Drosophila melanogaster: one gene and its partners. Changing the gene in region 2 together with the main gene of any one other region gives a genetic interaction. Each region holds a gene or a part of one and is shown on either strand. Other genes may lie near its edges.

What was found.
Region 1: of Or83c (region 2) and ATP8B, changing one enhances a phenotype caused by changing the other (phenotypic enhancement), as found in Drosophila melanogaster (one study listed by BioGRID).
Region 3: of Or83c (region 2) and Snmp1, changing one suppresses a phenotype caused by changing the other (phenotypic suppression), as found in Drosophila melanogaster (one study listed by BioGRID).

Annotation. Positions count from the first base shown.
Region 1 is NT_033777.3:12,074,881-12,082,490, forward strand, and holds the start of ATP8B (ATPase 8B), read right to left. Parts: upstream 5,049-7,610; 5' UTR 4,801-5,048; intron 2,657-4,800; 5' UTR 2,597-2,656; coding exon 2,026-2,596; intron 1,863-2,025; coding exon 1,804-1,862; intron 1,707-1,803; coding exon 1,494-1,706; intron 1,436-1,493; coding exon 899-1,435; intron 833-898; coding exon 611-832; intron 543-610; coding exon 294-542; intron 14-293; coding exon 1-13.
Region 2 is NT_033777.3:6,075,041-6,081,554, forward strand, and holds Or83c (odorant receptor 83c), read right to left. Parts: upstream 3,244-6,514; coding exon 2,686-3,243; intron 2,609-2,685; coding exon 2,370-2,608; intron 2,283-2,369; coding exon 2,093-2,282; intron 2,027-2,092; coding exon 1,871-2,026; intron 1,815-1,870; coding exon 1,764-1,814; downstream 1-1,763. UniProt on the Drosophila melanogaster protein: Odorant receptor which mediates acceptance or avoidance behavior, depending on its substrates. The odorant receptor repertoire encodes a large collection of odor stimuli that vary widely in identity, intensity, and duration.
Region 3 is NT_033777.3:21,163,162-21,171,622, forward strand, and holds Snmp1 (sensory neuron membrane protein 1), read right to left. Parts: upstream 5,045-8,461; 5' UTR 4,968-5,044; coding exon 4,857-4,967; intron 4,797-4,856; coding exon 4,639-4,796; intron 4,573-4,638; coding exon 4,425-4,572; intron 3,980-4,424; coding exon 3,725-3,979; intron 3,657-3,724; coding exon 3,150-3,656; intron 3,090-3,149; coding exon 2,911-3,089; intron 2,851-2,910; coding exon 2,553-2,850; 3' UTR 2,006-2,552; downstream 1-2,005. Other genes in the region: CG5810 (uncharacterized protein), read left to right, coding at 629-1,915. UniProt on the Drosophila melanogaster protein: Plays an olfactory role that is not restricted to pheromone sensitivity. Has a role in detection and signal transduction of the fatty-acid-derived male pheromone 11-cis vaccenyl acetate (cVA). Not required for sensitivity to general odorants.

The DNA of each region.
Region 1 (7,610 bases), 6.0 Mb from region 2:
AAATTGTTTGCTGCTATAACGAGTAATGTGAGTTGTTGTTTCTTCTCTTTTTTTTTCTTTTCTTTTTTACATTGTCAGACACACAATTAAACAAAGACCCACACGGTTGGCGGGTCAAGGGGGAATGTCATAGTTGAAGTTTGATTTGAAGAAACAGCCTCGTTCGAGACTGAAATTTTTTGGGCAGACTGTGCAAGAAACGGACACCGACACACACAAGACAACATTCCCTCAACCAAGATAGAGGTTAAATTGGCCTTTTGGACCCGAAACCCCGACAATTCGCCACTCACCTCCGTAATCTCGACCAACTCGCCGGTGCGCAGGTCAATCACATCGCCATAGCTGCGCCCATTGATGCTGCACTTGTTGAAGGTCATGATGTTCTGGGTGAGGGTGCCCGTTTTATCCGAGAATATGTACTGGATCTGGCCCAGCTCCTCGTTGAGCGTGGTGGTGCGGGCTTTGGCATAGGTATTGGTGGTCGGATAGTACATCTCCTCATCCCAGTTGATGAGGAACGACTGTACAAAGCGTATAACCTGTACGGAATATTGGTGTTTGTTTCTCAGAATGGAATTTAATAAACTGGTTGACATTGTATACAGACCTCTACTGAAACGTAGAGTGAGATTGGCACAACTGTGTTTAAGACTATGGCATACGAGAAGAAGACCAGCAATCCAATGACTGTTGCTCCCGTGGGTATGTAATCTTTGGGTATGATGTGCTCCCAAGGCAGATACAGCTGGAAGTGCTGGCCAATCAGGCCCTCCCAGATGGCACAGCCAATCGCAAAAAGGGCACAAATCGACACCAGAAAGAGGACGATCTGAAATTGGTGATGCAGTATATGTTAATTATAAGTAGGATTAATAGAAGTCGAAAAGAACTCTACCCCAATGATAATAAAGTTGAGCAGGCGATCCACGCCAGTGCTCTTGAACTGCGTCTTTCCGGAGTTCTGCATCAACTTGGTGTCCACTCCGGCGAAGACCACCACGCCATAGCACCACTGCGTGTTCCGGAGGACGCAGCCCCTCAGCAGGATCTTCTCGTTGTCCAGGGCGAATCTCTGGCCCCGCCAAATCAAGGTGCCATCGAATTTGTTCAGCAGGTTGTTGGGCCGCTCGCAAATGATCTCGCCATTGAAGTTCCATAGCGAGTCATGGCGATCACCCAGCTCGATGGTTTCGGTCAGGCATTGCTTTGCCTTGAGATTCGTCTCCCCATCCAGTTCGGCTGTCTCGATGAAACACAGACCATTTGGCTCGGATGTGGACAGCAACAGGGTGTCGGCGGCCACGAACTGATTGTTGTCCAGCCGAATGACATCGCCCACCTGTACCTCCGACCACTTGGCCTCCACCAACTTGCCATTGCGCAGCGTTTTCGACTTGCGATTGTTTACCTGCGAGTCAGAAATATGACGTTGCTGAAAGGAAAATACAGATTGGCAATTATGAAGTTACAGCGTAGTATTTTGTACTCACAATATCATCATACGCATCCTTAACAGCCGTCAGAGTAAGTACTCCTATCAGGGGAATTGCTGTGGTCACTGGGGTGAGTGAGGATATCGCGGGTATCAGCTGGAGGACCAGCAGGCAGAGGAAATAGAAGTTGGCCAGCCGCTGAAATTGCTCCAGCAGATTGAATGGCAGAAACGTGAACAGCGAATACTTGGAGGTCTTGATGTAGTTGTTCTGTAAATTAATGCGGATTATAAATAATAGTTAAACAAATAGAAAAACTTTATTTAGTGTGCATTCTAGATGAACGGTTAATATTGTATTTACTTACATGATATTTGAACTGGGCATTGAACTCTTTATCGTTGGCTCGAATTCTACGTTCGTTTTCTGTGAATATAAAAATAATATCTTAGCTAGGATTTTTTAATAAACATAATGTGGTTAATATATGATTAATAATCCTAATTACAGTTTTCTATACTACAAATAACTATACTCTTCCAAACAATTTTTTCCTTAAAGTTATTTTCCATTCTTAATCTCTTTTTACCCGAAAAATAGTACGAGCTGCGACGCCTTCTAATCTGGGAAAGACGTCTCAAACTTGGCACGGACTTTGACTCCGAGGTCACGGAAGGATCTCTCTGCTTATACAGTTCCTGGTCATCGGATTTGTTGGGTGGTGGATTGCCTCCTCCCGGCGCCAAGCTGTAGAAGCTATCTCCTATCATTAGGGGTGTGGCAATGGTTTGCGTAGAGCTGCCTATATTCATGCCCTCCGGTTGAGCGAGGCAAGCCCTCGGACTGCCCTCCAAATCGGAATTCCTTCTTTCCGGCTGCTTAACATCCTCATCTTCATTACAGTGCAATCGTTTCCTTCGATTTTTGGAGCTCCTGGCGAACTGAAACCATCGGGTTCTTTTGCTGGGCGCAGAGCACGAAGCTTCAGGAGCTTCTATTCCGGGCTCATCCACATTTCCGGCTCCCTTTGTTGGGGTCCGCTCATTGTCCTCCTGGAGTTCAGTTTCGATAGGTTGGCCCCCCAGAACTGAAAGTTCCAGAGTGTCAGGACGCCTCCTTAGCCGCCGGGCGGCCTCGCTGCATCTCCTGCCCCCGATCATGACCAGCTTAGGCTATAGGTGGAACAATAACGATATGGGGCGTCCGCATTACTCTTCATTCTACGAGGAAAATCGAAAGTTTAACGTGTTGCTAACTCCCGAAAGATTAAAATGCAATTGAAAACCCATCGGCACCGAACAAACTTCCCTGGAGGGCTGGCTCAATAAGACTGTTCCATCCATCATTTTGATAGACTGCTACCCCTCCCATTGACAAAGAGCCCCAGACAGCTGGAAACGATTCTCCTCACACATTGAGTGTTTGCACGCATATGTCTGGGCAATAAATAAATAAACAAATTTCTTCTGTGATTCTCGGATACCCAGGGGGAATCGTCTTCAAAGGGTATATCAAATACTTGTTGAGATTTTTAACTAGGACTGAGTTTGGGACTGAATGCGTCACGAAATATATGTACACCCACATTTTAAAGCAATTAAGGAAAATTTACTCGCGTTACAATATTCCAAATAAATAGGCTCTCATAGTTCTATCGATTTTTCTTAAACATAAACACAGTTTACCCTTTAAGCCCACAATTTATATCAATAAAATTTTTGATTGGCTTCCAAAAAGCATTGTAGGTTGTCCTAAACTGGCTGATGCCCCGTCATTCCTTTTTTGTTCTCCACAAGGCAAATATAGTTCAATAGCTGTGGTGCAGTTCAATTAAAAGTTCTTACAATAATTATTTATTGTGTGAGATTTTAATTTGAAACTCAAACAAACCGATTGTAACAAAAACTGGTAATTAATTTGGAATTGCTTTTCAGTGGTTTTTAATTATACTGGTTGCTGTACGGTCTGGTGTATGAAAGATTTCAATTTAAAAAAACTTTGAAAAGTATCTGAATGTTCTTGATAATAAGCATAAGCTTGATATCATCATTGGGGCAATATTAAGTTGCAAGAAAAAACTTTTCAAGAATCGCCTTTCTGGTTCCCTTGCCGTTGCTTTTAATGGTTCATTTTATAAAGCACGCACTGTATTTACTGCCAGTATCCATGCCAAACATTTTCACCTTGCTTTCTTGGAATTTTCTCGGAATTTTCATGTGAGTACATCTGGGTGCATTATGGTTGAGCAGTCGACTACAAATATACGCAGACATGTGTACTACTTTATGTTTACTTTACAGCCTTATGCTCGATTGAGCAAATCTGCAGTAAGCAAGTCGCTCTGGCGTCACAAAGCTTCTACTGGGTGAGTGTGTGTGCGTGTGTGTAAGCATTTTACACATTCAACAAGTGGCCTTTATTTGGGCAACAAAGAAAAGGAAGCTGCAGCAAACTAAAGTTCGCTCTTTTTACTCTCTCTTGCCTTTCATAATTGTGGAAAGCAGGCGGGTGTCAATGTCAAAACTGTTGTCAAGGCCACGGCGAATGCATGCAAAAGGTGGATATGAAAGGCATAACGGTAAGGGAGAACGGAAATTGAATCTGAGACGAAAAGTTCTGTCCAAAGTTTTTGTCTCTTTGCTAAGGATAATAAAGGCAATCGGCAAAAAATTTGGCCCCACTTCCGCCCGTTTTCGAATTACAGCTGATTGGCGCTCTCACATTATTTTGTATGCCTCTCCCAAGCGGACTCTCTCAACTACACTAAGGAAATTGGAGTGGTATGAATAAGGTATTCTGGGCTGGTTTTATTTGAAGCCCATTTTTATTAATTTAACATATATTTATCTAAGTACTTATGTATCTCCATTTAACCTTTAAAATAATATTAATATTAATATTATCTTTTTTCCCTGTGTAGCAACAACAATGCCGGGTAAGCTCTGTCGCGCTCTCTCTCCCCCTCTTTTCCCATGCACTCTTCCGCTCTCCTTAACGACGATATCCTGCTGCGAACATGAGTCATGCATGTGAATGTAAATTTGCTCCTTGCTCTCAATTTGTTTCGCCTTCTTGAGTTGTTTTTGCTGTTCGCTTTTCCTTCGCTCGCATGCGTCACCTTTGATGGGTTTGCAAGGGGCAGGGGTGAAAACAAATTAACTACAAGAAAAGGCCAAAAGAATCGATGAATGCTCAATAATTATGCTGGGAGCAAAGAAAGCACAACAAAACAGAGGCAAATGAGGAACATGTTTTCGGTGCCAGGTGCCAAATGCATCATCATGATCTCTCTTCGGCCCTTCCCCTTCTACCCCTATATCGCTCCTCCTCCTCCTCCTTCTCCTCCAACCACCCAGCTTCGTACATTTTTAGCACATTTCTTGCACTTATTTTGCACCGCTTGCGTTTGATTTTTCCATTTGTTGCTTATTTTTTTTTGCCTTTTATTAGTTTTCCTCGTATTTTTTTGTGAAAACGCGGAAACACCTTATTTTAAAACTGCAACTTGAGTTTTTCGCAAAGCAGGGAGTTATATTCCACTTAATTGGCCCAAGGCAACGCGAAGTGCTACGCGGTCCGCAGTGCGATAAACAAAAACGGCTAACGCCAAAGCCAAATGGCCAACTGCCGCGCGCAAACTGCGGCCAAAATGGGCGACGGCGACCGAGACGGCGACAGCGACGGCGACTGCGACGCCGTCAGCTGAGCGAAATGCGAGTAAAACGATGACAACAAATTGCCGACTGCGCTGCCAAGGCAACCGGACTTGGCAACCGATTCACGCACACCTTCAAGCGCAAACGGTTAAAACCAGCTTGTCTTAAAAGAGAGCTATGGAAAAGCTTCGATATCCAAAGTTTATCATTCCAACTCAAGTGATCTGTGGTTCAAAGGTTCAAAGCACAATAGGTGATAATTTCCACTCTCAGAATTGGCTTTTTGAAAAGAGGATTAACGTGAAACGTAGAAATCTTTTAAAAAGCTCTAGTAATGGGACCCGAGCTGACTTGATCGATTGCCTTAGGGTCGCAGTGCAATCGCTGAAGTATTTTGATGGGCTTATGGGTCGTATGAGTAATATTCACATAAACGATTATGCTATCAGGGTCCACCCTAATGGTTTTGCGGTGTTGGAAATAGAGCCGTATATATTTAAAAATGTTTATATTCTGTATTAATAATTTTATTTAATCCTACGATTTTTTAATTTTTTTTATATTAATACTAATAAAGAATAATTTAACAAAATATATATTACAAATTAATCACTTATTATTGATAATCGAAAGAGTATTACCGCGTTCGTTGCGGCAAAAAATCTGTCAACAATTTCCCAAGTTTGTCAAGCATAAAAATGAGCAAATTTCGTAAGTCACCCTAAGAAAAAAAAACAAGGGAACAAATTGAAAGAGAACGAGTGAGTCGACAAACAAATTGGAGGTGCTCTTCCTCGCTCTGTCACGTGAATTGAACAAGCAAGAGAAAGCGTGCTCTCTCTTACTCTCTTTTCATTCAAAAAAGCAGCAATGTCAATGTCAAAACAAAAAAAGCACATTATTGGCGCTTGAAGAAGTGGCGCATATGGGTTAATGAATGATTGCCGGGGGCGGGAAATGGTAATCACACCCCGTACACATTGCATTACGTTTTTTTTTTCGGAACAAGGCAAACTTAATCAGCGAAGCGCCAAACGCTGAATGTACATATTATTCAAGTTCCTATTAAATAATGAATTTCGAAAGGATGGATTGTGTAAGTTTATTTTGCGGTTATTGTGGGCACAGATTCGCATTCCCAGAATTCTTTGAAGACTTTACGTGTCGCTCATGTACAACATACATATGAACATAAGTACATAGTCTTATTATTATCAAAAGCAATTGCAAACATTATAGTTATAAATAGTTCAATATTACTTGAACATTCCCTACTTTCGTTTTCGTTAGAAATAAGTTGTGGCGCCTTGCAGTTTCTCAATTTGTTTTATTTGTAAAACAACTTTAACAAAATTGAGTTTAAGGGTCACAAACTTCACTTGGCAACTTTAAAGCTGGGTGGGTCGTCAAGACACTTGTCTCAAGTCAATAAAAAATTTTTACAAATTTTCCTGATTCGACACTCTTGGATTAGTTTCACATCAAAAGGTTAGTTTGTATCTTTGATCATTTTGTATAAAAACTAATTCGACCGCACATATACACCGCAATTTAAATTATATTTTTTGTAATTATCTGAATGAAGTGTTTAAATGACGACATATTCTACATTTTGCTGACTAGTGTATTACACAAAGTTATGTGCACACACTTACAAGTCAACAAGTACCCACCCCTACTCATGAATCGGAATAATTCGCATTCATTCACTTCATTCATTGAGCGGCCGAAACAAGGCGCCTAATAAATCGAAGTGCCGTTTTGACCAAGCTCAAGGCACTCACGCACTTACACATACACACTTCGACTCCCCCGCATATACAAACACACATACACATGCACATGTTTGGGCCATTGGCTAACGGTACCTTTGCGGAATAGTGTCAGGGCCAAAATCGAGCAACGGGCTGCTTTTTGTCAGAGTTCCGCGTCGTCTCTCCCTGCAATTGGTTTAGTAACGCCAAAGAACTGGGTCACTATCTGGCCGAAATCAGTAACAACTGTTCAACTTTTTGGCTGCCCGAGGCAGCGAGATTTCCCAATCTGAAATGCCAAAGGCTTTGAGCAAAATCAATTTGTAGCGGACATCGTGCTTATACTGGTTATTGATTCGTAAGTCGAGTTTTGTTCTATCGCTGAACGCATTAATTTTGTTTTAATTGTTAGTATCAAAGGTAAATCTACCAATACAGATATGGGTCTGCATTTATCATAGAATTGGGGATGACCAAGTATTAAAAAAATCCAGCAAACGATAAGAAGGGGCGTACCTGACCTCACCTAACAAAAATCTTATACTGCATTTCCTATGTTTATTATTTTTCTTTAGAGTTAAATAATCGGATATATTTCTAATAAATAATGTAATAACAGCACAACTCTCCTTTAAAATACAATTCGCATGGCGTTGGCTCAGATTTATTTTGAAATATCTTATATTAACGTTTTTATAGAATAGATCTTTATTAGCTAAATGTGTGCCATTTTAAACAATTTAATTTACGCCAATTTCTATTTT
Region 2 (6,514 bases):
CGTTGCGTGTTGACTTTTGTGTCTGAGCCACCTTTCAACTGCAACTAATTTATTTTATTTGCCAGCTGGCGACCTGGCCGCCTTGCCCGCCTTGCCTCCCCTTCCACCTGGTCCGCTCCTAAATATGATTCAAAACAAGCATTAGAAAATGTATTGCATGGCAGGCTGGCTGGCTGTCTGTCGGCGTCGCTGCATTTGATACAAAGTGTCTTGACGCTAAGAGCCTCCATCCGAGTGTCGAGTGGCCCCACTTGCCACTGCCACTCCCCACCGGCTCCACGATTTCACGATTCAGCGTCATTGCGGTGGACAGGCTGTAAATGAGTTTTGTTATCTGCCAGCCAACAAGCGAGCAAATTGCATTACTTGGAGCGGAACTGGATGGGACAGAGTGCGAAACTTTTTCGATTTATCGAGATGAAGAGCCCTATATCGATATTTTGTGATTATTTTTGTATTTCTTCAAAAACTGTACTAAACCTTTGGTCCAAAGGTAAATTCCAGCCAGCTTAAGTTGGGCTATTAACCCATTTACTAAAATATCCCTATTTGTTGTACGTTCCATAAATGTAAGTTTCCACCCTTATATTAGTTTAAGCATGCCTCTACATTTTAAGAGTCGTAAACAGGATTGTATTGCTTTGAAATATCCTTCCCCGTCTCCGTCGTAACAGATATCAGATAGTCAATACAATACTCGCCTCCAGTATTCCGCCTTCTTTGTATTGGGTTTTAAAGCCTTTGATTTTAGGCCTGTTTGTATTTGTATCCAAATGATGTACAGCATCACCTCTACTTTTGAGTGTTATACTGGCCATAAACAAACAACCGCTCAACCCTTTGCGGCCATAATTTAGCGTAATTAAATAGCGCATGAAAAATGAGTAAATTATGGAATGCGAAGCGGTCGTAAATCTGAATCCAAGAGGTCGATGAGTCCGCTGACCAAACTGTTGCTCTGGTCCTTTCTGTCCTTTCGACTGTTGATTTTATTAAAATCATTTCGTTTTTATAGTCGCTGGGTGGCGGAAGGTCCGTACAACAACGGTGTACTTAATTACGACTGCATTATAACGACGTTACAATTATTGTTATTATTTTTTATCCAAGCATCCGGGCCATTGTCCCGACCACATTTATAAAATGCCCATTATTCATGGCCTGGTCAGGAGCTATTAATGTCCGCCGGCCAAATATCGGGGAAGTGAACGCACCATTTCAAAATAAATTAAATTTTTATGCGTGTATGCGAAATGTATTAAATGTTTTGTGCATAAGAAACTCCCCTTAATGAGACGCACAATTAATGTTTTCGAGTCGGGGCTCCATAAACCGATGCCATAAATTCAGCTCTGTGTGTTGGTAATTAGTGGCCAAGGTTAATGGCAGCAGAAAAAATCCCGACGACGAGTTCATCAGGAGCAAAGTGGGAGAAGAGCATTTCAAAGTTGGCTGAATAAAATTTGTAAGCTGATTCCGGGCTAACATTTGGATTAACCAAAAGTTTTAATAGTAATAGTATAGGCGATTGGTGGGCGTGGCAATTTCTGAATCAAATTTGAACTACGTGGGTGCGTCTGAGTGCATAAACTAGCTTTTGTAATTCCCACTAGCTAATGGTCCTGATTGAGAAAAAATACTTTCTATACTGCATGCATACTGTTCAACGAATCTAAAAACTCGCATATCTCTTTAGAATTATTGTGTATCAAGATATTGTGTAATGCGTGTCAGATTTTTTTTTTTTTAGTGTTCTCTGTCTTCTACGCCCGATTCATCATCATCATGGATACGCTATAAATTAGTTTAACAATCTAAAAGTATACGAAAATCCAATGTGGTATTATAAACTAAAAGCCCACTTACTCACCTGCAGAGCCGTTCTCACGGAAAGCGACATAACTCCAAGTATCTGAATATTGTGCGGATACTGGGATTCCCGCAACAAAAAACCAAAAAGCTTTCGCTGTTCGCCACTCAACTCATACCAGGTCACATTACAGATGCTCTCGTACACCTGGTCATACTGTTGAAGACAAATAAGAATGCGTAAGAACTAAGTGCTCATAGACTTAATTTTACTAAAGCTCACTGCAAACTCAAGAATGGTGCCCAGAATGCAATAGATGGACATGCTGTAGGCAGAAACCACGAAAAAGATAGCCGAAGGCATGTGAAAGCTGCTCAAATTAATGCAGAAGCTGAGCATCATGGCCAAAGCCATCGAAAGAACCTGAGTGGCGATCAATTCGTAGTAGAGGGCATTTATGGCGCGACAGTAGCTAAATGTATGGGAGAAATGACATATGATAAGCCGTTCCTTTTTGATTTTATTTATTTTTTAAAAGGAGAAATTAAGTGTTTCTTACTCCGTGAATAATTGATGCCATCTTATAACATCCAAGAGAAGGCGTTGACGATTTTCCGCTCCATCAATAGAAGCTCCAACTCGGACTAGAGCTCTGTATTCCGCTTTTTGTTCCAGGGCATCGTTTAGCTCTTTCACCTTCACCTGCAGCATATCGGCGAAAGTTAGGATCTGCGTTAAGCCGAGAAATACGAACAAATCACCGGAGTAGAATCCGACTCCTTGCACGAGCATTGTCACCTGCAATCGACGAAAATAACTTGGTTAGGAGAGGGAGGAAGTGTTGACAGAATCTCAACAGCTTTAGTGGCTCCTACCGTCTGAATCATGTACGTGACTACGTAGCAATAATTGTTCTCAAGCGGTAGACCCGGAATTAAATACTGCATCGCAGTAACCCGGGTTCCATCGTACATTAGCATGGCCAATGGCAGGAGTTCCATCAAACAAAAAGCGAATACATATCCGTTTCGAATGATCTTCATGATGCCGAGGAGTCGATCTATGTTCGAATTCAAGGTCCTGTGGTAGGAATCTCCCCGAGTCTCGTATTCATCGTAAATGCTTTGTGAGTAAAGGACCAGACGTCTCATGTCTTGATGCTTCAGCAGACAAGTCAGGAACTTCCCGAGTCCGTGGAATAGCCCACCAGTCATAAGACTGGCCTTCAGTCCCACCCTCCAGTCACCGCCATTATTTAGTATAGTAAATACCGTGAAGCCAGTATAGTTGGCGATTGCAAAGATCGTGGTCCAGGTGCGATAATTAAATTTCAATTTGGGCGAAAGAAAATCCACGCCAAGTAAATTAGTCAAACTATTGATGTACTTGGATAGTTCGCGAAAGCGACTTGAAGGACTTTCAGAAGTACTCATTGTGATGGAACTGAATTAATCCTCCAGTTTTTCCCCTTTTATACGAAAACATTTGTTTTCACAGCGGGACTGCAAATGTCACTGCAATTATCATAAGTTGCAAGTAATTTTGTCATTATCTACTTTAATTGTTGTACTATTTGCTTTGTGAAATTACAAGATTTGAGTTGTCCATCTGGGAACATACATATGTACCTATTCTTGATTCAGAGTGAATTAATGTATCTGCTTTCCTTCTATATAAGGTTATACTAGGTTCCTTAAAATGTATGTTCGATGTTCTTCATTCTAATGCGTTAAGGAGCTCAATAACTTAATGCTTTAAAGATATCCTCATGCCTAGGAAATTCACATTGTTTGCATGCTCATAATTACTGCACATTGGGGAATTTTAAAAGTGTTCTGCCGAAGTAAGGAAACCGCAGAATTAACACAATAAAATTCCCTATCCCTTTGTTTCCCCCCGTATTAGTGGGTGGGAAGGTGGCCACCTTTCGCATACAATTAATCCCCTTTTGTTTCGAAAGTCCTCCGATGGCATTCATCATACGCACTGTTGTCTAATACACTTCAGAGTGCGGAACGTTATTATTCAGAGCCCTTTGGATGGCCTGGCGGGTATATATGCACTAGTTCATTGTGTGCTTTTTGTTATTAATTTCCAAGCTATAAATTTTGCTTTGCCACATTTCTAAAGGCTGATCCCAACTAAAACTACCCACTTGTACTTGGGCCTGAGAATGTGTAAGTCGGCAGGGGGAATGGAGAGTGGTTTGGCAACTCACCTTTTCCACGCTCGAACAGATTTCGGTTTTTGTCTGCGGTATTTTGTTATTCTGGCCGATCCAGCAGCTCCACCTTCCATCTGCTGCATCTTTTGTTTATGCCTCACAATGGCCTGCCGCAGGTTTTTACTGCCTTCCATTGTGTTTCTGCCTGTGTGTGTGTTTGATTTCTGAACCCCTTACAGGGGTATGCTGAGTTTTGGCATACACATAAACTTGAAAAGATATAGAACACAAATATGAACTTATAAGCTCGAAAAGGTAAGCGGTTTCGCATCAACAGAAACGCACTTAGGTATGCAACATATGTTTAAAATATAAAATTAATAACTTGGTATCCCATAGTCGCAATACTCGACTTTGTACTTCTTACGTTTCCTCCTATGTTTTTTGTTTTCCTTGGCTGCCTGCCTATAAAATGCAATGGAATTTCATATTGTGCGAGTATATATCGGCATCAACATAATGCTCTCGGATAATATTCCCTGGCATTTTTGCGCTGCGGCACGTAAAAAATGCAGGCTATACATACTCAAACCCATGCCTGGGCGTTTGATGTTTAATCAATTGAAAATGCGAGTGTGTGCCATTGATGGTCGACGTCGTGCCCGCCCCCCGATTTCCCGAAAACTTGGCGCCTCAACTTGTCTGCCTGACGGCCTGCATTATGCCCCTGGCGCGGTGGCATGGCGTGGCATCATGGTGGTGTGACCTAAGCCAGGGTCGGATTTCTAGCCTGACTTCCGCATCGACCCGACGGCTGTTTGCGGAGCTCAAACTGCAAACTGCTAACTGCAGGTGGCTCTTAAGACGCGCTCTCTGGAAAAACATTAGCAAGATTGCAAGGTGCGTGTGCGGTGCCACACACACACCCACACCTACTTGCTTCCACATCCACTTCCTTATTGAAAGGGAATTGAACGCTCGACTTGCAGGACGGCTTCCTTTCGCAGGATTCGCCTTTGCTGCTTGCCGCCTGAATGGCACAAAGAGGAATAAAAATTACAATATCGCCGTTGCCGCCGACGATGCAATGGAAATGGAAGGCAAACAACAGGCCCAACTACAGCCACTACTGCACGGAAGAAATGGATGGGAATCGGGGTACGTTATTTAGAGGGAATAAATATTTTCCTAAGAAGTTGTTTATTTTGTTTAAGAGCAATTAAAATCTATAATTTCACACAAGTTTATGTTAATTGATACGTATGATTAAATATGTTTAAAAATTACTTTTCAATGGTCCCCGTCGTAAGTCCTAGTTTTTCGCGCAGTGCAAAACACAAAAAGGAAAGTGCAGAGCCTTAAGCTGCCTATAGAGGCATTCATGCGTTTGTGTGAGAGCGTGCGTGTGTGTGTGTGTGCGTGGGAGAGTGTTTCTTGTATTGAAACTTCCTTTAATGGCTTCCGGTTATCATTATTGGCACAAGGCATTGTCCGACCCTCTCCTGCGGCTGCGTGTCTATAAAGATTAAACGCATTGTTCTTTGTTGATTCTTTCCATCATGCAAAGAAATTAATATTCGCAATCCATTATCATTCCTAATAGCCCGCATACGAGCGTACACCCACAAAGCGGCATATTTAATAACCCTAATGGGCGGCTTAAAGCCTTAAAGCGAGTGGCCTTTGCCCAGTGTCCCACTGCCTCTCGATGATACATAATCAATCAGTCGAACGCTTTAAGCTGCCGACTAATATGCAGCACGACGACCCAGTCGGGGCAATATCTTTAAGTGTCCTTGCTACTGGTGCCCAGATACACACATTGATAGATGGGCGGACCCCGGTACGTCAGCGTCATTCTCTTCGGCTAATGATGACAAATTTTTTATGGGCATTATGAGCGGCAGTGACTTAAAGCGTGTGGGAATGCTCGAGAAAGGCACCGGAAACGAAATATGTTCTCAAAAGTCTCATTTGGAATTTACAAATAATTGGAGTGATTTGCGGACTGAGGTGTTGTAGTTTTTTAACTAAGTAACATCCTGTATTTATTTAAACAATTATTATTATCCGAGCATTGAACAATGAACAAAATGGAGTTTTCTCGCTGTGTGAGCCTACAATTGTGGGGGAGTTGTCTGTTGCCTGTTCCGCTTTTTGCTCCGTCCCGTTGGCCAACCCTTGGTCAGCCTGGGCTCTTTATTAATTTGACAGCATCAACAGGAGCTGGCTGACTTGGCACGCTAATGATTGAAATGAACTCCGGCTCGCTATCCGGACACTCTGCTCCTCTCCGGGAAAAGCCAGTGTAACGCCTACCGTCTAACCGGCAGCAGCTTGATTGATGGTTATCACTCAGTGGGCGCCGAGAAAGCCACTACAAGGACGTCAGATTAAATGCTGTAGGTGTGTCATAACTTTTTCCTGCGCCTGGCATTCCTCCGACTCACTCCCCACGGCCCATTGTGCCGCATTGCTCCTTTGTTTGGGCGATATTTGGGCACTTGTCATCCATCCACTGACACAAACGCCGCGCCCAG
Region 3 (8,461 bases), about 15 Mb from region 2:
ATTAGATGCAGCAAATGCGGGGAAATACATTATTCGCTTTAAAGATAAGAAATCAAGCTAAGAAAGTGAAGATAGTTAAGATAGTTAAAGTTTCAATCGAAACCATATGCAGTCCTTAGTCCATCAAAAGATATTAATCTCAATTAACTGCTGTAAACAATTCCCATGATTATCAGAGCGACAGGCCAGACGTAATGTAGCCATACATTGGCTTACTTTTGCAATGGCAATACATCGTCCACAAAACAGCAGCCATTCCATATCAGTTGGCACAACTGGGCCATAAACTATAAACCATAACTACGAGTATGTGTTATGAAGTGGAGGATCGCGAGATCGTGCTTATCGGCCGGGTATTATGACAAAAGCCTGATAATATTTCCCAGCGAATCGTAGAAGCAAAAACAAAGCAAATATATTCATTGAGAGGAACAATAAAATTTTATTGACAAAAAATCGAACCAGATTGTGGAGGGGGTCGACAGAAAAACAAACAAACAAACTAGCGCCTAAAGACCTGTTTTCGCTTTTTTTTGTTTTTTTTTTTGGCTGGTTTCTGAAGGTTGTGTTCTGGTTTTGTATTAAAATGCCCCCCAAGCCAAAAATTGCTCAGTCTTTTAAAGCCAAGATGCGGATGCTAAACTATCTGAACTATATTTTAATCGCTGTGATTGCTTTTGCGACTTGTGAGTCACAAAAACTCGAGGAAATTGCAATTGATAGTTTGGATTGCCGCGAAAATACGTGCACGAATTTGAAATACCCTTCTGCTTCAGCAGTTGCCTACTTCTCAGAAAATGTGACTAAACATTTGAGAAAGTACGAAACTCTCGTTCTTCACAGCTCCGATTTGGCCAATTTGCCGAGAAAAATCTTTTTGAACCTTCCTCAACTTGTGGAATTCCATGTATTGGAGTGTGAGCTTCAGCAAATTGAAAGTGTATGTTTTGATGGTGCCAAGAACTTGAAAAGATTGAATTTTGGAGGTAATGCCCTGCGAGTTTTGGATAGCAACACTTTTGAATTGGCCACTCAACTGGAGGAACTCAACTTATCGGACAATCAATTGGAGGATCTGCCCACCACCATATTTCGACCCCTGAAGAACCTTCAGAAGATCAACTTATCCAACAATCGGTTAATCACTTTATCCCAGCACATCTTCTCACAACTGGGATCGCTTAAATCCATCAATGTGGACAGTAATCAGCTAGTGGAACTGCCTGGTGAACTTTTCCGGGATCAGCGGAAACATTTGTCAGAATTCTCAGCCCAAAGTAATCAACTAGTGCGGATTCCTTTCAATATATTTCGTGAAATAGATCATCTCTCGCTCTCGTTTAATCCTCAACTCAGAAGACTCCATCTATCAGCTAAAATCAATGAGCTGGAGGCCACCAATTGTGATCTCGAGTCAGTGGAGTTGGATGGTCGAGTGATTGGTGTCCAATTGGAGGCAAACCCAAAGCTGCATGAGTTGAAGATTTCGCAGCCCCAGGATCTGGAGCATCTTTACTTGGCCAATACCAATCTGTATAGACTTGACTTTCTGTCCAAGGCCAGTAAGCTCGTTGACTTGGATGTAACGGACATTGTAAATCTCGCGGATTTACCCAAAATTACCTCAGCCAAGGGATTGGAAAGATTGAGTTTTACCTACGACAACTTGACTTCGAATCACATGGACATGTTGCCCCATCTGAAGGATCTCAACTACTTGGAGATAAGTCACGAGAAGGGAAAGGAGATCTTTATCAAGGATCTGGATGAGGATTTCTTTGTCGAGGAAGCGGAACTCAATTGCGGCCAGTTGGCGGATCTGTTGGAGTTCGTCGAACTGCCTAAGGACACAACCATTTTGGAAGATAGATTAGTTGGAGATCCTCGAGGGCCAATGAGATGTGGAATGGCATAGAAAAATAATCTATTAAATGGGAAATAGTATTAAAATTCCTACTTATTTATACTAATGAGAAAATATTATATAAATGAAACTGCATAAATTAAGCCAAATAAATACCATTTATTTGCCCCCTCTTTGTTTGATTTTACATTTACAACTACAAACACTTCACTTTAAGGGGCCAACAGAACAAGTACTTATAATTCGTCTTCATTAAAATTAATTAAAAAAGTGTAATTTTTGCATACTGTTTACAAATCATTAATCAACGCTATACAAGTTGAGATATTTTCACTTCAACTTTTCCGCCTGTCTCCGCAATTGTTTTCGGTTTGCAAACATTGCAGCCATTGTTTAAAAACGATTTGTCAATTCACCGACTCTTGTGATCGCTGAACTCGAACTTCTGAACTTCTGCGTTTTTTTATTTTTTATTACTGAATCCACGATGATCGGTGTCAGTGGAGCGCACAGATCTTGTCATCTGCGATCAGTGGTCATCGATTAGCGATCACTCCATTGGCCAGCGACCAGTTTCCCAGACGAATGTGCTTAGATCTGTCTCAGTTGATTAGCTCATATTGGACTACACAGGTGCAGTGGACTACGACTATGGTGCAGAGATCGCTGGAGAATGCCATTTGGGGTATTAGTAGCGCTCCCGATGCTCCATTTTGTGATGGGTAGCTGGATTGGTAGCGGGATTCGTGCCGGGAATCAGAGTATTGGGCAACTGAACAGGGTGCACAGTAGAAGATTGCTTTGGATTTGCTGAAGGCAAGGGCTCCTTTGTGCTGGCCACGTCGTCTACCTTGTTGTTATCCTTGAGGATGCTGTTTATGTCCAAACTGTCGGATTTGTGGTAGAAAAGATAGGCGGAAAACATCAGGCCCACCAGGGAGAAAGTAATGAGGGACCAGCGCAGGACTGAGTTGATTTTTAGGCCCCTAAAAAGATAATTAAAATATGTTATATAATTTCTCTTAACAATGTAGATTCCAACTTACAGAAATAGTGTGTATTTCACTAAGTTCGTGTAGGTCTTGTTCAACTGCACGCCCTCCTCCACCCAAAACATGGGCAATATCAGCTTGGGTAGATTCTTCATGGGTTCAATGCCCTCCACTGGCTCCATGTCCAGATTAAACTGCAAACGCTTGGCAGCCTGAAAAGGTGTTCCAGACATCTGAAGGGAGTAGAAATAGATAATATGCATGTATATTCATTACTCAAATTGCTTGCTTACAAGTTCAAAGTCTATGTAGACCGCATGATCCTTTTCATTCGGATTGAGACCATCAACGTCGGCAACCAGCTTTGGATCGCCCAGATAGAAATGAGGCATTGATGCCATCAATGGACCACCAACACAGGCCGCCAGATTCATAGTGCCCTTGGGCGGACACGTGTCCAGATCTTCGGGATCTTCGCAGAAACAATGAAGCTTCTCATCGGCACGTATATCCCCCAAATCCAGGGTGTATCTCATCGATGGCATGCCATGGTAGGATGACTTGTGCTGATAATAAGCGCCCAGGGATCTACACAAATCCGGCGTGAATGCCCACAGGCCATCCTCCTTTTTCAAGCCCGGTGCAAAGACCGTAGAATCAGTGCCCACAAAGGTGTTGCACTCGCCATCTGGCCAAATGTCTTGCTCCGGTTCGTCGGCGAATTTCACTACCTTTCCAAGCTTTTTGTTATTTTTCACTCCGCGACAGACAGTGAATCTGCCAGAATCCGAGTGATTGGCCTGTTTTTCGATGTTAATTGAAATTTCAGTCACTTAAGTAGTATTAATTGGCAGTATTAAGAACTCACCTGACCCATAAACGAGAACAAAAAGTGAGTTTGATTGACTTGTTTGGCCTGCTTAATTTCTCCCGTGTAAAACACGGTGCAGAGCGCCTTTGCGGAGAATTCTTCCGAGGAGCAATCTACGTTGATGCCGCGGAAAAATAAATCCATAAATTTAGCTTTCAAAAAGGCTTTGGCATCCGGAAAGACAATGCTTAATCCTTTGGAAACCAGCTCCATCATGGCAGCCTTTTCCCTTTGAACCGAAATGCCGCCAGGCTGTAAAAATTGGAAAGGGAAAAACATATAATCGCCGCCAATAAATCGCAGACTAAATTCAGCTTAGAATTACAGAACACAAAAGACGCCATTCTGAAATCCATTTCTATCACTCTTAATGGGTTAATTTTGTGGCTGCTATTTTGGGGCTGGGAATGCGATTTGCATAATTCACATGGCTAACAATGGGCCACGTGGTCATTAGCTGGCGCCTTAAGTGCAGTTTTCCATAGCTCTGACTAGAATCTCTAATTCCCAACGTTTGCCATAAAGTCGCTGATGCAGTGAGTGTTGATTTTAAATTTACTAACCATTTTTAGTAAGGTATAGCAGGGTATGGGATTGAATTTTATATGAAGAAATGGAAGAATATGATTGATTTAACGAAAATGTTTGGAAACTTGTATAGTTTCAAAAAATATGAACTAAACCATTTAATAATTACCAGCATTATGGGATGCGGCAAAATAATCTCCTCCTCGCCCGTAAGTGGCAGCGACTCCTTCGGGTTGAAAATGAACGTGTTCCTCATGGTGAAGCTGACCGTGTCCTCTACGACATCATCCTCCAAATCATACTTGTCCTTCCACTCACTCAAAGCAGGGAGAAACAGTGTTAGTTACTTGCTATCCTACACAATCCAATATATAGAAACCCACTCGAAAACGAAGGGACCCACTTCCTGTAGCCGTGGCTTAGCTCCTTCGGATACCTCATCCGGATTGGTTACGTTGAAAACGTAGATATAGAAATGCAGTGGGAATGGAGTATTGGACCAGAGTTCCCGAACATCCGATCCGGGCTTTAAAGTTACTTGCTATTGGGTGGGAAGCTATTATAAGATTTAAGCCGGGTATAACTCCCTCATCGATCCCACCTTCGATATCATAAACTTGAGAATTTTGGGAAAGATAACCCAGCCATAGATGATGGCAAACACGAACATGGCTCCCGACCCCATGAGCAGCTTAACCCGAGGTACTTGCATCTCTGGGCAATGTTTCGATCTCTACTCGATTCGTGCACGGAAATCCTTTCAATCCGATTGCCTCCTTCGAGCTGAAGACCAGAGGCTTTCACAGTCGCGACGCAACTGAATCGTCTCCACACTGAAGTCCGGAATCCCCTCCTCAAATCGGACGGAACGTGCGAATATTTTTCACTCAGCCATAGCAGCAGCATTTGCGGTTGAGGAGGCGGCAGGCCGGATGGCAAAACAATCAGATAACACGGCATTACTTATAAAATCAATAATTGCATGTATTTGAGTATTATAAATTGTTTCCACTTTACGCTCTACACTCCACGCAGTTTCGGCCATAGTCGGACGCACGAATGCGGTATAACTGGCTTTTGTTCATCTGGACCCTCGTCATCAAGTCGTTTTGATCGTACACCTATATTTCAATCAGACTTAATTGTTCGCATAGCCCAAATGGGCCAAAATGCATTGAAATGCATTTGATGTACCAACAAGTTTGGACTAGGAATATAAACAAGATCGTTTAATTGCCTTTCTTTAGGGGGAAGTAAAGGAATATCCTCAGTTTTTCTATAATTTGCAACCACTTCTATAAAAGTGTAACCCATTTTGGTTTTGAAATTGATATTAGCAAACACCATACATAACCCATAGATACGCATTAGCTACCCAAAGAACCTACTATCACCTACCTAAACGTTATGCACTTGGACTTGTAGAACTTATTTCTATACTTCTGTAATTGAATTTCGAAATGACTTATGCGACACCTGGCCTATATTCCACTATTAGCACTTGTTACCTTTCCTTGGAAACTTTTCTTCCCTAATTGCGGCAATTACGTTTTCCAATTTCAAGGAGAACCAATGCAAGTGTTGATGGCTAATTAGGGAAAGAGTAAGCCAGACTCGCGAGGTTTGATATTAGCTTGAGTGAGAAGAGCAAATATTTCTATTATATTTTGGAAAATTGTATTTTCTGGATTTATTTTATTTTAAATTTTCAAAGTAATTTATAACTTATTTGCTATAAGGTTATCCTATTCTAAAATTAGAAGCAGTTGAGTTTTGTAAAGACATAAGGCGTTAAATAATGCTAGTATCCATTTTTATTATGGCTTCACTGTCAAAACCTTAAAAGATACATTTTAGGCGTAAGCATCGAGTAAAATACTTCTTCATAAGTAAATCTAGTAAATACTCTTTTTTAATGATGTTCATGCAACTTAAACCTTGTTTTTACAGTGAATGATTGTATACACAGTTTCCAGACTCTGGTCTCAATATCTATGAAGTATCTAAGTATCCATCAAATCTGAAATATTTTCGTTGCCTTGTAATCTGAATATTTGTAGTGCGTAAAGCATTCTTCAATTAGCCAATAAATCCATTTAAGTTAGATGCTCTGCCACCTTGACCGGCTAACTGGGCTCGGCAACGCCCCTTTCAGTTGGTCGTTTGTTGACACAAACAGAAATCGAAACTGAAACCGAGTGCAAAACATAATGCATAACAATGGCACAAAACAAAAAAAAAATGAAAAAAACAAACAAGAAAACTACAGACAGAGAAACAACTTAAACAATGCCAAAACCCAAAACACGTGACTGCGCCATCGACTCGAGTTGCGTTGAGTTGACTTGAGTCGAGAAACATACATACATATATGTAAGACAGACAGACAGACAGACAGACAGAACCTCTCCAGCTCGCCAGTGGAAAATGACACAGAAAAGCGAGTTGCGGCGAGACGCGAGTGGAAATTGAAGCGCGCTTGACAACGGCAGCCGATCGTTTAGATACAGATACTTTGCCATAAGTTTCAGTATGTTCGACCAGGTTTCTTCGATTTTCTGCTGAGCGAATGTAAATTAAAATTGAAAATGAAGTGCCAGCGTAGCCAACAATTTGATTATGTTCGAACTGGAGGCGAAAGAGGAAATTCTCAATTTCGTTTGCTACCAATTATTGCTGGCCCAAATAGTTTTGAAAATGCCTAAGTGCTCAAGGGGCTTAAGATTGAGGTAATCCTGGTCTGGGTACATACTTCTTGGACTTGAAGACGACAAATGAGTGTCCAAAGTACGCTTTTCAAAGCCAATATATAGTCCTATATATATTGATCGATTTGGTTCCATGTTCATAGCATATACTATTTAAATAAATTATCCTGTCTAAACATTTTCATTTATGGGCTATCTTGATGAAGTCTTCAAATATTTTGACAAGCGTGATGCTTTTATCTTTATAGTTACAGTTCATTTTACAGCAATGCAATTTGTCTTAAGTACGTAACCTTAAATTGTTTTCTGAAAATACGTTGTCATAACCGATGTCGTTGGTTGATTAATAATCATATTAAACTGCCAAGCGTTGCAAACATGTTGTTCTCATGGAAAACTGCCTTAATCGTTCAACAACAACTTTAATGGGCAGTAATATAGAATAATTTGATTATGATAATCATTTTTTGTGACAACTCTATGACAATATCAATGTTTTGGGTTGGGTATAAATGGTATTCTTGGGATTTACATTTTTTGAAGTACGCATTAAATAGACATTCTTAATTAAATAAATTAACTTCTTTATTAAAAACTATCTTATTCATTGAAAACAACTTTGATTTGCGATAAAAAAGAGCGATTTTAGTGCGGTAATTTGCTAAGTCTTCTGTGTTTATTATTCATTTTTAAAACTATTTAAAGTAGAAACTTAGCATATTATCTTAATCAAATTAATTTCTTTAAGCATTCCAAAGTGCCAAAGTGCTCCAATTTAGAGTCCCCTTCTACACACATGGCAAAATCCATAAGTTTATAGCTCCGCAAATGAGTTGTAATTGGCGGCAACTTGAAAGTGCAAAAGTTTGCAATTAGCAGGAAGCTGCGAAATCCCACGATACTCCCACCCACTTGATTCCACAACTGGCATTGTGCAGTGCTAATTTTCCAACGCATTTGCCATGGAGTTGGAGCTCTTGTCTTGGGGCGGAAATGTCTTTAACCTTGTGGGATTTGCTTTCTAAATGTCCAGCCAGCCCACTTACTTGGTTCTCACTCCCTACGACGATTGAATGGAATATCAATTATGTTCCGCCTGACAGCGTTTAATGAATCGCTCGTAGTCGATGGAAAGCAAGTGACATTTGCACTATCAGCCGATTGATGTGAATCATCTACTGGGGGACAGGGATCACGTGAGAGTGTCAACGGATTGATTGCATAAGCCTCCAAAGAACCGAATGACGATCATGCAATCACTTGTGGAATCGAAGGTGCCATAAGCAGCTGGCATCCATCCTACATTATTTTACAGCAATTACAATTGCCCACTCATTGTGCATATATGTACATTCAATGTATATGTATATTCATTTATTTGCTTGTGCACCAACCTAATATCAAGTGCCAAAGTGAGCGCAGCAAATGCATTTAGCATATTATTTAAATGCATTTATTCAGTGGTACTGTGCATTTCAGAAGCCTGTTATGGTATACA